Drosophila melanogaster: one gene and its partners. The protein of the gene in region 1 interacts with the protein of each later gene in a pairwise test. Each region holds a gene or a part of one and is shown in the gene's direction. Other genes may lie near its edges. The genes, in order: unc-45, Pex19 and Neos.

The links.
Region 2: the proteins of unc-45 (region 1) and Pex19 interact in a two-hybrid assay, tested with the Drosophila melanogaster proteins (one large-scale study listed by BioGRID).
Region 3: the proteins of unc-45 (region 1) and Neos interact in a two-hybrid assay, tested with the Drosophila melanogaster proteins (one large-scale study listed by BioGRID).

The regions. Positions count from the first base shown.
Region 1 is NT_033777.3:8,031,513-8,038,018, forward strand, and holds unc-45 (uncoordinated 45), read left to right. Parts: upstream 1-1,788; 5' UTR 1,789-2,018; intron 2,019-2,075; 5' UTR 2,076-2,089; coding exon 2,090-3,368; intron 3,369-3,427; coding exon 3,428-4,992; 3' UTR 4,993-5,891; downstream 5,892-6,506. Other genes in the region: CG10903 (uncharacterized protein), read left to right, coding at 1-199, 270-457; CG11035 (uncharacterized protein), read right to left, coding at 700-1,395.
Region 2 is NT_033779.5:12,090,170-12,096,021, forward strand, and holds Pex19 (peroxin 19), read left to right. Parts: upstream 1-1,652; 5' UTR 1,653-1,957; exon of another isoform or gene 1,958-2,189; intron 2,190-3,518; 5' UTR 3,519-3,692; coding exon 3,693-3,741; intron 3,742-3,824; coding exon 3,825-3,942; intron 3,943-4,008; coding exon 4,009-4,312; intron 4,313-4,378; coding exon 4,379-4,542; intron 4,543-4,599; coding exon 4,600-4,843; 3' UTR 4,844-5,066; downstream 5,067-5,852. Other genes in the region: CG6712 (uncharacterized protein), read right to left, coding at 5,067-5,852.
Region 3 is NT_037436.4:7,239,889-7,243,819, forward strand, and holds Neos (neosin), read left to right. Parts: upstream 1-1,739; 5' UTR 1,740-1,986; coding exon 1,987-2,408; intron 2,409-2,471; coding exon 2,472-3,165; 3' UTR 3,166-3,251; downstream 3,252-3,931. Other genes in the region: BHD (Birt-Hogg-Dube), read left to right, coding at 1-97, 156-276; RpL18 (ribosomal protein L18), read right to left, coding at 413-889, 967-1,053, 1,338-1,340; mRpL50 (mitochondrial ribosomal protein L50), read right to left, coding at 3,317-3,746, 3,806-3,915.

The DNA.
Region 1 (6,506 bases):
TCCTGTCTGACACGCACCGCGCGAGCTGTCTTTCAATTTTATCCGGAGAACTCCGATCAGATCGAGATGGTAACCTCGCAAGCCATGAAGGCGGGATTCTACGGAGGATTGGTTGTCGACTATCCAAACTCTGCCAAGGCTAAGAAGTACTACCTGGTGCTCATGACTGGAGGATCTGCTGAGCTGCCGCAGGCTTTGGGTTAGTTTTAATAATAATAATTATAGAAAACTAATAATTACTTTCACATCATTTTTCTTTGCTTTTGTAGGCTCACCTGAAGAGGAACGTCGTGTAAACTATATAAAGAAACGTGATGCTTGCCGTGAGGCTCGGGGAAAAGCGCCAAAGAAATCCCGCGATTGGATCCTAGCCAAGAAAGAGCGTCGACGTCGCCAGGGGTTGGAAACCCGTCCTGACACAAAGTACACTGCACGCAAGCGCAGCGGCAAATTTTGAATAAAGTTGTTACATTTAAAATTAGTGACAGACCTAATCTCTAATTGCGGCTTTGTCTATATGTTTTAGATCTTGAGTCAGATTAAGGATATTACAATGCCGTTGGATGTTTATATACATATGTATAAGTCCCGCTGCTATTCATCTTAAGTAAAACGGACACATCTTTAATTCACAAAATTATATTGTTTCGAATTTAATTCATTTAACTTAAGTCTATGTACGCTGAAGACTAGAGAATTCTAAGATTGCTTCCCGACTAGTTTTTGTTCTCGCTCTTCTTGATCGCGTCTGTATCGTTCCTTCGCTTTCTGCTTGGGAGTGTCGTAGGAGCTTTCGGCGAGGAACATCAGGTATACGGCCACTCCGGCAAAGATAAAGGCCAGCAGGACCATGTCAGTCTGGCCTGATATTCTGTTGGTCTCCCTTTGCACTTTTATTCGATCGTATTTGGCCTGGGCGGCTTGTCTCCGGTCAAATGATTTACCATAGTGATTTCGCGACCACTCGTCGAAGTCATAGATGGGCGTACGGCCCGCAGAATCAGATACACGCGATTTCTGAAATCGCGACTTGTAAAACTTAGTCTCCGCATCGTCCTCGACTACGGGTTCCGCTACATCGTGGACATCTTGGGCATATTGGGCGCCTGCCGTATGTACGATTCCCTTGTCGTAAAGTCGACGCAGCCGGTAATTTCCCAGAATCTCATAAGCCTGATTGATCTCCCGAAATTTCTTGGCTGCGTTCTCACTTCCTTGGTTCCTGTCCGGATGATAAAGCATCGAGAGCTTATAGTAAGCTGCCTTGATCTCGTTCTGCGTGCACTGACGCCTGATTCCCAGTGCGTCGTAGTGGCTCATCTGGTGGCGTTGACTGAGGTAGAGGCCACGCAGCAGAAGCAGAGGTCGCCACAACATTGGGCTGTGCTGGTACATCTTGGATGTGTTCTTTCGCCCGCTTCACTTGTTTTGGTTTCGTTATATCACATGAAAATTAAAAACAAATCGAATCAGCTGTTTGAACTTGAACTTGTTCACCCTCGCCATCGTTGTTATCGATAGATCGATAGTATTCTGAACCAATGGTGCAGGTACAGCAAAAAATTAGCTGAAAGAGGAAAAAGAGCTTGTAATTGATTAATTTATAAAAGATAGATTTTGAAAATATTTACAGAATAAATGATTTTCAAAAAAGTTTTTACAGATATATCAGAAAAATATTTGTAATCCCTGGCTTAGTTAAAAATTTAAGACTTTAGTAAAGTTGAAATTCGTCAGCTGTTTGGGCTATGATGAAAAAAGCAAAACGTAAGCTCCACGGTTCCAGTCAGCTGTTTGGCCGATTCGCTGCGAATGGCAACTGTTGCAACTATTTTGGTTTGAGTCTTCTCAATTTTTATTTATATATAGAACAGGGCAGCAGCCGGTTCAATAGTCTCACGCAGCGTGCTTGATTTTCCCGCTAAACGCCTGCAACTGTATCTGTGTGTATTCGAGAGCGATCGAGAAGTTTCTGGTGGTCGAAATTTAGGCCAGAAGGCACAAAACCGAACTGAATAGTGAGTCATCCGTTAACAATAAAAAGTTGCAGCTACAGTTTTTGTCTTTTTATACAGAAAATTGTGTAACCATGACAAACACCATCAACAGCGAGGAAGTGTCCGACGCAGGAAGCTACAAAGATAAGGGCAACGAGGCGTTCAAGGCCTCCCGCTGGGAGGAGGCAGTGGAGCACTATGGCAAAGCCATTAAGGCGGGCTCTAAGCACAAGGAGCTGGCGGTTTTCTATAAGAATCGTGCTGCCGCTTATCTGAAGCTAGGAAAGTATGAAAATGCGGTAGAGGACTGCACTGAATCTTTGAAAGCGGCTCCGGGGGATCCCAAGGCACTGTTCCGTAGGGCTCAGGCGTACGAAGCTCTGGAGAAGTTCGAAGAGGCCTACAAAGACGCAACCGCTTTGTTTAAAGCGGATCCCGGCAACAAAACCGTACAGCCCATGCTCCAGAGGCTTCATGTCGTCGTGGAAGAGCGCTCTGCCCGTAATGCCAAGACATCCACAAAAGTCAAGCAGATGATGGATCTTACTTTTGATTTGGCCACGCCCATCGATAAGCGTCGCGCGGCAGCCAATAACCTAGTAGTTTTGGCCAAAGAGCAGACTGGCGCTGAACTGCTTTACAAGGACCACTGCATCGCCAAAGTGGCCTCACTAACAAAGGTGGAAAAGGATCAGGACATTTATGTGAATATGGTGCATTTGGTGGCTGCTCTTTGCGAAAATAGCGTCGAGCGTACAAAGGGCGTTTTAACTGAACTCGGAGTACCGTGGTTCATGAGGGTTCTCGACCAAAAACACGAGAACTGTGTGTCCACCGCCCAGTTTTGCCTACAAACAATATTGAACGCATTGTCTGGGCTTAAGAACAAACCCGATTCGAAGCCGGAGAAGGAGCTGTGCACTAGGAACAACCGGGAAATTGACACTCTCCTAACATGCCTAGTTTATAGTATCACGGATCGCACGATTTCTGGAGCAGCTAGGGATGGCGTTATTGAGCTTATAACCAGGAATGTCCACTACACAGCTCTAGAATGGGCCGAACGCCTGGTTGAGATCAGGGGACTGTGCCGTCTGCTGGATGTGTGCTCCGAACTGGAGGATTATAAGTACGAGAGTGCAATGGATATCACAGGCTCATCATCCACAATTGCATCCGTTTGTCTGGCCCGGATATATGAGAACATGTACTACGATGAAGCTAAGGCACGGTTCACGGACCAGATCGACGAATACATTAAGGACAAGCTTTTGGCGCCTGATATGGAATCCAAGGTGCGGGTCACCGTTGCGATTACTGCCCTGCTTAACGGTCCATTGGATGTGGGCAATCAGGTTGTGGCCAGAGAAGGTGAGTTCTGTTATTGGATTTAGAAAATGGTACTTAATTAATGGTGAAATTTGTAACAGGAATACTGCAGATGATTCTAGCAATGGCTACGACCGACGATGAGTTGCAGCAGCGAGTATCATGTGAGTGCCTAATCGCCGCTTCCTCTAAAAAGGACAAGGCCAAGGCTCTTTGTGAGCAGGGAGTAGATATTTTAAAGCGGCTCTACCACTCCAAGAACGATGGTATTAGAGTACGCGCCCTGGTGGGTCTTTGCAAGCTGGGTAGCTACGGCGGTCAGGACGCGGCCATCCGACCATTTGGCGATGGAGCTGCCCTTAAGCTGGCGGAGGCATGCCGTCGGTTTTTGATCAAACCTGGAAAGGATAAGGATATCCGTCGTTGGGCTGCCGATGGTCTGGCTTATTTAACACTGGATGCTGAATGTAAGGAGAAGCTCATTGAGGATAAGGCTTCCATTCACGCTTTAATGGATTTGGCCCGCGGAGGAAATCAGTCCTGTCTCTATGGTGTGGTCACTACTTTTGTGAATCTGTGCAATGCGTATGAGAAGCAGGAGATGTTGCCTGAGATGATAGAACTTGCCAAGTTTGCTAAGCAACACATACCGGAGGAGCACGAGCTGGACGACGTAGATTTCATCAATAAGCGTATTACTGTGCTGGCAAATGAGGGCATAACAACTGCTCTTTGTGCACTGGCGAAAACTGAAAGCCACAATTCACAGGAGCTGATTGCCAGGGTTTTGAATGCGGTTTGTGGACTGAAAGAGTTGCGAGGAAAAGTGGTTCAAGAAGGCGGCGTTAAGGCGCTGCTTCGTATGGCGCTTGAGGGAACTGAGAAAGGAAAACGCCATGCTACCCAGGCGTTGGCTAGGATTGGCATAACCATTAATCCGGAAGTATCTTTCAGTGGCCAGCGATCGCTTGATGTAATCCGTCCTTTGTTGAACCTTTTGCAACAGGACTGCACAGCGCTGGAGAATTTTGAGTCGCTAATGGCACTCACCAATCTAGCCAGCATGAACGAGAGCGTGCGCCAGAGGATTATCAAGGAGCAGGGGGTCTCCAAGATAGAGTATTATCTGATGGAGGACCATCTGTACCTGACTCGTGCAGCTGCCCAGTGTCTGTGTAATCTGGTTATGAGTGAGGATGTCATTAAAATGTTCGAGGGCAATAACGACCGAGTGAAGTTCTTGGCGCTTCTCTGCGAGGATGAGGACGAGGAGACCGCAACAGCTTGTGCCGGAGCTCTGGCCATTATTACTTCAGTGTCTGTCAAGTGCTGTGAGAAGATCTTGGCCATCGCCAGCTGGCTGGACATTCTGCACACTCTGATCGCCAATCCCAGTCCGGCGGTCCAGCATCGAGGCATTGTGATTATTCTAAACATGATCAATGCTGGAGAGGAGATCGCCAAAAAGCTGTTTGAAACGGACATTATGGAACTGCTGAGCGGTTTGGGGCAGCTGCCCGATGACACGCGTGCCAAGGCCCGAGAGGTGGCCACCCAGTGCCTGGCGGCGGCGGAGCGTTATAGGATCATCGAGCGGTCCGACAACGCGGAAATCCCCGATGTGTTTGCCGAAAATTCGAAAATATCTGAGATTATCGATGATTAAGCGAAATTCGTTTGTAGTGCCTTTTGTTTTTCCTCCATTTCATCTTCTTTACTTTACTCACAGTGTCATCGCGAAATTTAACTTATTTTTCAAAATATCAAATGTACTTAACTGTTTTATAAATATTGTTCGAATTTATTTCGTTTTTAAAGGTAGTTTGTTTTATTCCTTAGTGGGTAATATAATATATTATTTAGTTATTTCATGAATACGCGATTTTTTAATTTAACTAATTTAATACAGACCAAGCCTAATCCAAGCCTAATTGCTGCGGCCTAATGTGATTTGGATTGTAATATGGATGGCCACTAGGATGGCCTAGTGTTTTCCCACCGACTCCATTTTCCCCGGTGCACTGCCTCGGTACGTTTTCTATTCATTGCCACACATTAGTCGCCAGCTCGAGGTAGCTGACTTCCTCTAATGCAGAAGATGCTTCTGATGCGGCAGTGTTGCAGTGTCAGGTAGCCGGGAATTCCGAGCCGAGCATCTCTTCCAGCTGATTGCTCAATCTCAATGAAGTGTGATTAAATAAATAATAGTTGCTTTAATTTAGTTTGGCTCAGCGCAGTGGGAAATGGCCGAGGGTTTCGGTTGCTATGATTCGGTTGCCATGACTTAACGGCATTTATTCCGAAATCCATCCCGCTTTTTGTCTTTGGCCATTTGGCATTCCTTTTCCCGCGATTATTTCGCATTTTCCTCTTCTCCTTAAACCATATACTGTGCTCAATTTGACCAATATAAATAACGTGGTTAGAAGGTAAAGTAATGAGGAAGATGAATTCTTCAGGACCCTTATATGCTAAAGGGATATAAGCTGAAATAAAATATGTTGATGTAAGACCCCAGAAGGAAACAAACTAATGCTTGGCAATATATTTAAAAAATTGGTGTATAAAAACAATTAAGTTAGGGGAATAAACATTTTAAAAAATGGTAAAAAAAGACATTTTAAAAAATGTAAAAAGGATATTTCCGTGGAAATATATTAGCAAATTGAAATTCATTTCTATAGCGTTGTTTAATATTGAAAATCGAGTTTTTCGGCTACTTCATAATAAATGTACACTCTTCTTCCATTTGAGAAATCGATAATAAAGAAAATAATCCCAGACTTAATCCCCAAGAAGCAGAAACTTTCGGTTTCGGTTGTATTTACTTTTTCGGCATTGGTCAAAATGAGACATTTTGTCCTAATTACACAGACGACAGACACAGACCGTGTGGCAAAGAGTTTGCTAAGACTGTGGATCGGAAGCACTGGCTTAGAGCTTCATCGGCTTGATTGGCGACGTACATATGTGCATCTTCACTTTCCATTTAATCTCGGTTTGGTGGCGCGGTGCGGTTCAGTGTGGTGCAACACAGTTGGTGCCGCCCAATTTGTCCCGTGGAAATCGAAAGCCGATTTTCATGTCAATATTTTTGTTTAATAAACTGGCCGACTCGAGTCGTCTGCGCATGCGGAAAATATGCAAATTACCCCCCCCCAGGCGATGCGGCGCAACAAA
Region 2 (5,852 bases), on another chromosome or scaffold:
AAACCAATCCCGAGCCCAATCGACTGCTAAACGCTGTCGGCACACATCTGAGAGACGGCGACGGAGGCCAACAAATTGATCATTAAACAGAAGGCGCAAATGTAGGCGCAACCCATCGTTGTCCAACAGAAGATCGTAGCATCGGAGCATCAGGTCGAGATCAAACACCTGGGCCCTCGACCTGGCGAAGAAAGTGACGAGGCTGCGACGTCAACAAGATTAATTTGTTTTCCGGCCGGGTTCCATCTCCATCCAGAGTCACAGAGCCACATCCACATCCATATTTCCCAACTCAGCCGGCAACCTGTTGTCCAGTTCCCCGATTTGTAATTGCCCTGCTTTGTGGTAGTCGATCAGGTTCGATCGCGGATCGATCATATACTCTACTATAATGGACAAACTCGATGGATGGCGAAAGAACATCATTAGTTTTCTCGGCGTAGAGTCCACAAAGTAGGTGGCGTTTTTCTCACATCCCGAGTGTTTCTATGGAATCTCGATTTGGAGATGTTGGATCTTCTCTTCGGCGGCGTTTGTCCATTAGCCACGGTTTGCATCGGATATATGCGAATTTAAATAAAATCATTCAATTGTTTCATTAATCACTGGCTACGGTCGGCGTTTTCTATTAAAAAAAATGCATTGCCAATGGAAAAATTGACTGCAGAGACCGTGATTATTTATACATTAGTGGGAAAGAATCTTCAGTTTTATGCGAAGAGCTTAAAAAGTTTCTCATGATGTCCTACTTAGAAGTGGTTTTATGTTTTAGCAATCTATAATTTCTATGAAACTTAATTGGGAGTAATTCCTAACCACTGTAATAAAAACTATTTGACCTGAGGAAGCCAAAAGCAGCTCTTGAGCCACCAAATCGATTGGGAAACATAAAACATATATGTGCTGCAGTTCACGATAAAAAAAAAGCAGGGCATGGCGAATTGGGAGGCTGCAACCGAAACGCACACTTAATTTCCGCTTAATCAAACAGAACAGCGACTGGGGGGGCACAGACAGAGCAACCCACATCATCTGGAGTCGGCTACCCTTCGACCCAATCCTCTAGAGGAAAACGTATGGCAGACGCAAGGGCTCATTTGCATGGCCACTTTGATGGAGAGCGATGGGTGTCGGAGCATGAAGAGCTCGCCCCATTGCGCAATGGTTGATGGTGGATGTTGTATGTTGGATGGTGGATGTGGGTGTCTTGTCTTTCGGGAAGCTGCCAGCAGTTGACTTCTCCAGTTCTTCTTTTCGGGGCAGGATTTCAAAGGAAAAGTGAGCGTTTTCCAGGAATGACTGGGAGCCTTGTAATCGCAATTACCATGGCCAAAATATCAAAAGATAATGCCATCCTGGCCAGACACAAAAATATGTCGAAACATATATAAATATCTTATATTTTGTGATACTTGAATGATTAATACAAGGTGTACTAAAGCTACAAGTTATTTTGAATGTAATGTAACATTCAGATTTCTAGAATCAGAGTTTAATTTAATTAGTATAATTTTTTTATTTTAAAGAACTTTTATTCCTTTTATATTACATATATATTACATATATTTAGTGTCTTAATTTATTTACTCCTTTATATATACTTATTATTTACACTTTATTACCATAGCCACACGACACCAGCCACAATATAAATAATGTGTCTATAAAGTCGCAATCATCGTCATTACCGAACAATCGCGAAATCCATTATATCCTGTTCAGTGCATCGTAAAATCGAGCATCTTTCGCTGGAAGGATGCGGAAATGTTGAAAAAAATAGCGATGCGATCAGCGAGCGTGAAATCGCAGTCAGCATATGAAAAGGATGTACAGGATCGTATCCTGGCAAAGTTCCTGCAAAAAGGAAGGGAAGTGTAGATGCTTGTGAAGACGCTGATGGGCATTTTATGACGGTTGGAATCCTTCCTCTTCTGGGGAAATAGAGCTGGAGATTCAGGTAAATTCAGCTAGTCTAGCAAACCGATTATATCGGAATAAACAACTTTATGACGCGCCTGTTGGTGCCTTAAAAATTATGTCAAAAAAGAGCGAGTTTCTTGGTTTATTGGGATCGGGTGTGAGTGTGACCCAAAAACCATTGTTTTGGCCAACGAAGGGGTTTTTACGTTTTCGACTTTTGTTTTGACTTTTTGACGGTTGTCTTGACTTTTTGAACTGAACTGCTTGGGTTCTAAGAAATTTGAAGTTGAACTATATACTCTGATGTTCGCAGCGAATAGAGAATGAAATTTTTCCCTAAAAAGAGAGTTATGGTTTTTAGGGAAATTTTTGATGTTATATGTATGCATATTCTGTAAATGGATTACAGCCCATAAAAAGTCAAATTACCCTGTTTCTGTAGGAAATGTAAGAGTTTCAGGCGGTTTGTTCCACCCTAAGCCGCAAAATAAAACACCAAATTATGCATTATTTCAGTCGAAGCTCCGCCCATGCTGACATTTTCAGAGAACCGACTGACCGAAGAAAACTCCGCCCCAATAGTGGAAATAGAGGAAAAAACACAAATTTACCACAATACTTCGCTGCGTGGGCGTACCGAATCGAAGATTCGTTTTGCTCTTCTGGTAAACCGTGCGGTTAAAGTCGCAAAGAGCACAGCCCATCCCAGCCCAGCCATTTGACCATATGAGCGGAATTGAGGAAACCAAGCGGGGTTCCTCCGCAGCGGTGACCTTCGGGCGGGAGTGGACCTAGAGCTGGACGCCCTACTGCAAAATCCATGTGTCCCGTCCATGGGTGTGACGTTCTGGTTTCGGAATTGGTCGCGCATCAGCGTCGCGCCGTGACCTTGATGGTTTTGCGACCCCTCCCTCACCACTCAGTATGTGCGGTTTGGGCTCTGGTCGCAGTTTGGTCGCCGATCTCCGTCCGCGCACAGCGAGGTGCCATTCCCGGGGAGATTGGCTGAGAGTTTCGCAGAAGATGCGTAAATATTTTGGGTGATTATTTTAGATAATCTTCGACTAATGTCCTTGGTTTGTCTCTCAAGACAGGAGGGATATTGAGGTGCTTCGAATTTAAGTTTATTAGTCTGATGTAGGCCTAGATTTAAATATGTACACTATTATATTGTAGATGGGTGTACTGATGACTTGTTGTTGTAAGACATATAATTTTCTAAATCAAAACTCGAAATTTTCATTGACAATAAATATATGTTATATGAATTAAATGGCTAGACATTTTCACACTTATGTGTAGTCCACAATAATAATGCATTCCAGATTATTTCGAAATAGGTATTCTGAACTTGTTTTGAACTTTATATAATAGTAACAAATAAGAATTCTTAATTTAAGGAATATATTTACTAAAAATTAAACAAAATATAGCTATTTTTCTTAAAAAAAACATTAAATGCATTTAAAAGTTGTTTAAGTAATATGAATTTTGTCTAAGCCCTAACCGAAACTGAAATCTTAAAATTAAAACCAACAATTATATAGAAAAGTTAATTTTTAAATTTTTTTCTTATCATTTCGCATCCTTTTAAAAAGCCGTTACGAATGCGGTCGCACTAAGATGTGAGTCAGTGTAGCCACACCTGTTCAGCTGACTGCGGTATGCACCAGCAGCAGATGAACGGTCCCACTGATTGATTCAGTCAGTCTTTATTTTTTACCATTTCCCACCCACCACGAAATCAAGGAAAAGCATCCCGAAATTGCACAATGTCCGAAGAAAAGAAGAATGGCGATGAATTAAACGACTTGCTGGACAGTGAGTACAGCCCGGAAATGCCTTTGGCGATCCCTTCTCGACCCCTTACATAATGCGCACTGCGTCGTCCACTTTTCGCACAGGTGCTCTCCAGGATTTCGATAAAAGTGGTGCCGGTGACCAAAAGGAGCCGTCCGCATCATCGGATGTGGCGACCAACGCTGGACCTGAGGGCTCCGAGGATCCAGATGCGTTTTTCATGTGAGTCAATGCGCCAGTGCAACGCGGCACTTGAACTTTGTATTCTGACCTGTTATCCGCCTTCAGTGAGCAGGCCAAGGTGCTGGCCGATCGCATGAACACGCTCTTCGGAGGTCCGGACACGCCCAGTGGCGATATTCCGCCGCTGCCCCAGGATCCCGACCAGATCATGGCCGGTTTCAAAAAGATGGCCGAAGCGGCAGCGCTCACCTTGAGCGGCGAAAATTCGGCCACCGACGAGGATGTCTCCAAGTATTCTGATAGCATTTCCCAGGCTCTCAAGGGTCTGCAAGAGGGCTCCGAGAACCTGGCTGCTCCCGCCTCGGAGAACGACATAGCCAGCATGTTTGGTTCACTGAATCTTGAAGGGGTATGCATCCTGAAAATGAAATATGAATTCTCCTTGCTCAATCATTAAACAATCCCCGTTTGACAGGCTGGCGAGGGTGATGGAAACATGTTCCTACCATTCATGGAGGGCATGATGCAGAGCCTGCTCTCGGCGGAGATTCTGTTGCCCAGCATCCGGGAGCTGCTGGAGAAGTACCCCAAGTACCTCGAGGAGAACGACGCCAAGCTCTCCGCTGAGGACAAGGAAAGGTATGCTCGAAATCAACTCGCAATAAGATACTTTTATTGAGAAACCAATACATACAGGTACCAGAAGCAGATGGAGCTGTACAAGGTGATTGAGGGGCATTTACAGAGCGAGAAGACCGAGGATTCGGCCGCCGTGAAGCGAGAGAAGTTCCGCGTCGTGCTGGACGACATGCGCAAACTGCAAGACTACGGCCAGCCGCCGCCAGAGATTCTGGCCGAGACGGGCGGCGACTTGCCCTTCGGCGATCCCACTGCCGGCGTAGCAGCCGGCGGTCCCGGTCCCCAGTGCCCAACCATGTAGTGGCTGACGGAGCACGATAGTCTCGTGGTGTGCCAATTGGTTAACTGTTGAGTGTTGCACATTTTTTAGGCTAAGGCAAATTTGTATTTTATTTTATCACCGACAAAACAATACGGCGGTCGCTAATGGTTATCACCTCTCTCTTCAATCAAGCTATTATTTTCGTATTAACTGTTGGTTTATTAAGTAGTTCTATACCTAAATACAATGCCTCGAAATACACCTAGAGGAAGAAGCGACGTCGCGACTCCATGGCGTGCCGTTTGTTGCTGATTATCCAGGCATAGTCACCGGTCTTGCTGTCGAATGTGCCCTCCTGCAGGGAACGTAGTTTCAGGGTGAACCGCGGCCCCAGTTCGCGCAGCTTTACGCGTTTTCCCTCTTTGGTGAACTCGTAGCGGTGGTGACGGAAGAATATGTAATCTCGCTGATTGTGGAACGTCACCGCTCGGCGGCCGCGGAACTCGGGATCGTGATGGAAGAGGGCACCCAGCATGCGGCCCACGGTCAGACCCAAACGTGTGGTAAAATTGTTCAGGATCACTTCGGGCCTGTGCTTGGTTATCTCCTTGTGATCGCGCTTTATGTCCGAGGTGAGCTTCACGTTGGACAGCTTGAAGTGGGCAGTGGGACCATTGGGCAGATGAATGACCAGCAGCCCATTGGGCTTTCTGCGATCTTCGTTAACGATCACGACGTCTGTGAACTCCTCGCGCTCGGCGCTTTTGCATATCTTCTTCACCGACGACTTGTTGCGAATCTTAACCAGGGCGTTGGGGAATATGCGCGAAAGCTCCAGTCCAAACTTACGCGTCTTGGTCACCGGATTGTCAGCAAAAGTGATCAGCACCTTTGGCTCGTACGAACGTTCGAAGTACGAGCTGAAATCGTCCAGTTGGAGTTCCTTTTGCAACTCCTCGTTGTCGGAATCGTTCAGATTGGCCACCTCTGTTTGGTCCTTCTCTCGCAGGCTCTCTATGGTGTGACCAGGATTGGCGGGTACACCAGC
Region 3 (3,931 bases), on another chromosome or scaffold:
ATCTTATGGTGAAACTTTTAAAGGCGGTGGAGGAGAAAAACTTCACAGAACTCGTGCTGAACAAGCAGACCAAGGTGCTCATCGAAGAGTGGAAAAAGTGAGTAGCCGTCCTATTTTGCTGCACAGATCCGAACTCAATTGAATTCCATCTACAGCAAAGTGACCTGCCTCAACCATGCCAAATCCACCAGCGTGCAGGGCAAACTTAAGAAGGTGCTTGGCGTGCAGCCGCACGATCAGCCGATTATTAACTACTGGAGCACACACCTTCACTAGTACAACCGATTACCGCACAGATTAAGGACTTTCTTTTTCACCTTTTGGAATAAAACTCTTTTATTGCCGTGCGATGGCGAGAAAAATCATTATCTTAACCAAAAGGATGCCGAATCCAGTCCAGTCAGCCAGTCGCTTACTTCTTGTAGCCGCAGCTGGAGCGACGACCACGAGCACGCTCGAACTTGCGTCCCTTAGAGCGGACATAGGGGCGGGTGTGCGAGTGGGGCACACCGGGAGCCTTGCCGAAGTGCTTGCAGGCGGTGCGGGCGGTACGCCTGCCCTGCAGCAGCAGCGTGTTCTTGCCGGTGGGCGATCGGAGAGCCAGTTGATCGAAGGTCAGGACCTCACCGCCGGCCTTCAGGATGCGCTCCCTGGCGGTCTGCGTGACGTGCAGGGCGCACACGGTGAGCTTGGGCACCACCAGGAGGCGGGCATCGTCGGTGACGGTGCCGACGACCACGATGGTAGACTCCGGCTGGTTGGCGGCCTTGAAGAAGCGAGCGATGCGCTGAAGCGATAGCGGCGGCCTGTTGATCTTGCTCATGAACAAACGCTTCAGGATGATGCGGTTGAACTTCTTGTTGGTGCGGCGCTGAAGGAAGCGGTACAGCTGCGGGGGCAAACAAAGAAAAAAAAACAGATTAATCTCCACATTCAGCTGGTAGTCAACGCCATCGAAAGCCTCACCTTGACCAGCAGGCGCAGGTACACATCCTGGGATTTGGGCTCGGTTCTGCGAACCTTGCGATCGTACTTGTGGTTGATATCAATACCCTGCAAACGAAACACACGTATTAGAACTGGTGTTTATGATCGGAAAAACAATTGGTCGGCATTCGAGCGTATGTTTACTACATATCCATGGAACCGATCAGTTAAACTGCTTATTTCATGGTATTTTAGCTTCACAAACTAGATGCCGCCCACACAAATTTGTTTTTATTTCATTCCGTCGCCAGGAAGCTTCGCAATGCACGTGGGCTGAGCCACAGTTGGCGTTTTAGGTTATTTGTCAGTTTCCTGCTGGAATCATTGCCGCACTTTTATCGGTAACCCACCATTTCTTCTGTTGAATGTATTAATCAACGCTAAAATAGAGAATTGGACATTAATTTAAGCTAAAAACGTGGAGCATCAATTTCTTGCACGTACCTCGCCGGAAACGAAAGCCAAAAGAAAGAAAATAGTGTGGCTGCACCGATCACAAGCAAGACGCTAAAATATCCAATTGTGCTGTTATGATAACAGCGTGCTGTTAAGGCGCAAGCTTCATTTATTTTCTAAGCGATATCCTAAGTTTATAAACAAAATTTCTAGCATTAATAATACTGTGGGTAAAACTTCCAAACCTCTAAATCAAATTAAAACAAAATTATATGTGAAAGCTCTTATTTGCTTGATATACAAGTGTGGCAACGCCGCTAATAACATCATTAGTATGACCATAGGATTTTTTTTTAATATTAGGGGGGTACAACAAAATATTAATAGTATCTGATTTTTTACATGGCATTTTTGTAAATTGAATTTCTAATAAGCAAGTTAATGCAAGAAGGTTCGGAAATCAAGCGACCCTTTTTTTTTATTAAAACTGATGCCAATTCTGAATAATAACTATTCAGCGGTGTGTATTTTTGCATTGCCTCGTCGGGTCACACTAGAATCTTCAGTTTCGGGTTTGTGTGCAGTAGAAAGCTTCAAATATCTATGTCTGATCCAGGAAGCGCCGGCTACAACATAACCAAGGATCCGGCCCTGGCAAAGAGTCGAATCTTCTTGGGCAACCTGCCGGTTTGCACGCGCGAGGAGCTGGTGAGCATTTGCCAGCCATATGGCAAAGTGCTCGGTTCGATGGTCCAGAAGAACTACGGATTCGTGCAGTTTGAAACGGAGGAGCTGGCCAATAAAGCCGCCTCCGCCCTGCACAAGTCCACTTTTAAGCAAAACATGCTCACCGTACGCAACGCCAGCATTAAATCGAAGGCGGCCAATGCTATCGCCAAAAGAAATTCAAATCAAGGAGGCCAGGTGACAGTTCAGGGTGGACTTGTGATGTCAGCGGCGGCAGCGGCAGCAGGTCAACCCCTCATCAATGATTGCGAGATCATAGTCCAAAATCGCGAGAATACGTAAGTTATGATCCCCAATACCTTATAACTCCAGACGATACTCATGGCTTTCATTACCTGCAGCAAATACGCAGAATACATTGAGGAGCGGCTAAAGAATTCCAGTCTGCGCGTGGATGTACTCTTTCCCAACGAGGACGTCTTGCTAGGCAAGGTCCTGGCCAACATCTCTTCGCGCGGCTGCTTGTATGCGGTATTGGTCACGCCGCAGCACGAGGAACACAACAGCATCACAGTAAACATTTTGTATGGCGTACCCGCTGAGCATCGCAACATGCCGCTGGAGGACGCCATCACCCTGATCTCCACCGATTTTAGGCTCAAAAAACAGCGCGACGCTGTCGTCTTACCGCCGTCAACATCCATACACAAGGGACAGCGACGACATCCCCAGGAAATGCAGGGGCTGCTGGAAAGGCTGGCAGACAATCATCCATTGACCGCGTCGCAGTACGAGGTGATTCTTAAGTACCTCGAAGGCGAACGCGAGGAGCAACTGAAGCGAGAGGTGGGCGAGGCCAATGCTCTGGCCAAGCTAAAAGCTCCCGATCCAGAGATCGAGCTGCAGAAGAAGATTCTTAGCATCATGAACAAGCCGGCAGTAACCGATGTCACCAGCGAGCTCATGTATCCCACTTTCGAGGCAGTCAAGGAGGACAGAAGGCTAATGGAGCTACTTGCTGACGATCGAGTGTTGGCGGCCCTGGAAAGTGTTTACAACTCGGATCTCAGACAGATTTTAGCCGAGTATTTATAGACTACCAATACTTAGTAGTATTCATTAATTTTAGCCATTAAGCATATTTAACATTTAATAAATGTAATACCTAATATATATGACGTAAATCTCGGGCTTCCAGAATGCATTTAATAAGTGTAAGACATTAACAACTAACAATTGGCTGTTTCTAAGGCCAGGATCGCTTGGCTTCGTGTCCCTCGTACTTTCCACGGTACTTGAGACCGGTGACTAGGGTGGAGCTCTTGGGGAAAGCCGTTTTGCCGTCGAATTTGGTATCTGTCTCGGGATGGAATCGCACGTACTCGTACTGGATGTGCAAATTCTCCGGCAGCTCGATGCGCTTCAGTGCATCAAACGGCACGGTGGTGTCCACAGCTGTTTGGTAGAAAGCGATAACATCGCTGACGGTGCGCAGTTCATGTACCTGGGAGTTGGGCACTCCGTGCTGCAGCTCCTGGAAGCACGCGTTCAGGAATTCGAATTTCTCGGAGAGATTCCCCAACTGGTCGGATTTCAGTTGAAGCGAGGCGGCTACGGTTCGAATACGTTCGGCGGCATCTGCAGGTGGGGAGTACGGCTTATGGGGACGCAAGAAGCTACAATCAGGAGAATATTTACTTGGTTTTTATGTAAATAAATTAAAGAAAGTGCTTACCCCTTGGCGGCGATGGACTCGCCGACAGCTGAAATGGTGCTGGTTTTGACGGGCTTTGCTTTTGCGGCCTTGGCGGCGGAGGCAAAACTCCTATGCAGGCTTCCCGCAAGCTAAATTCATGGTGGC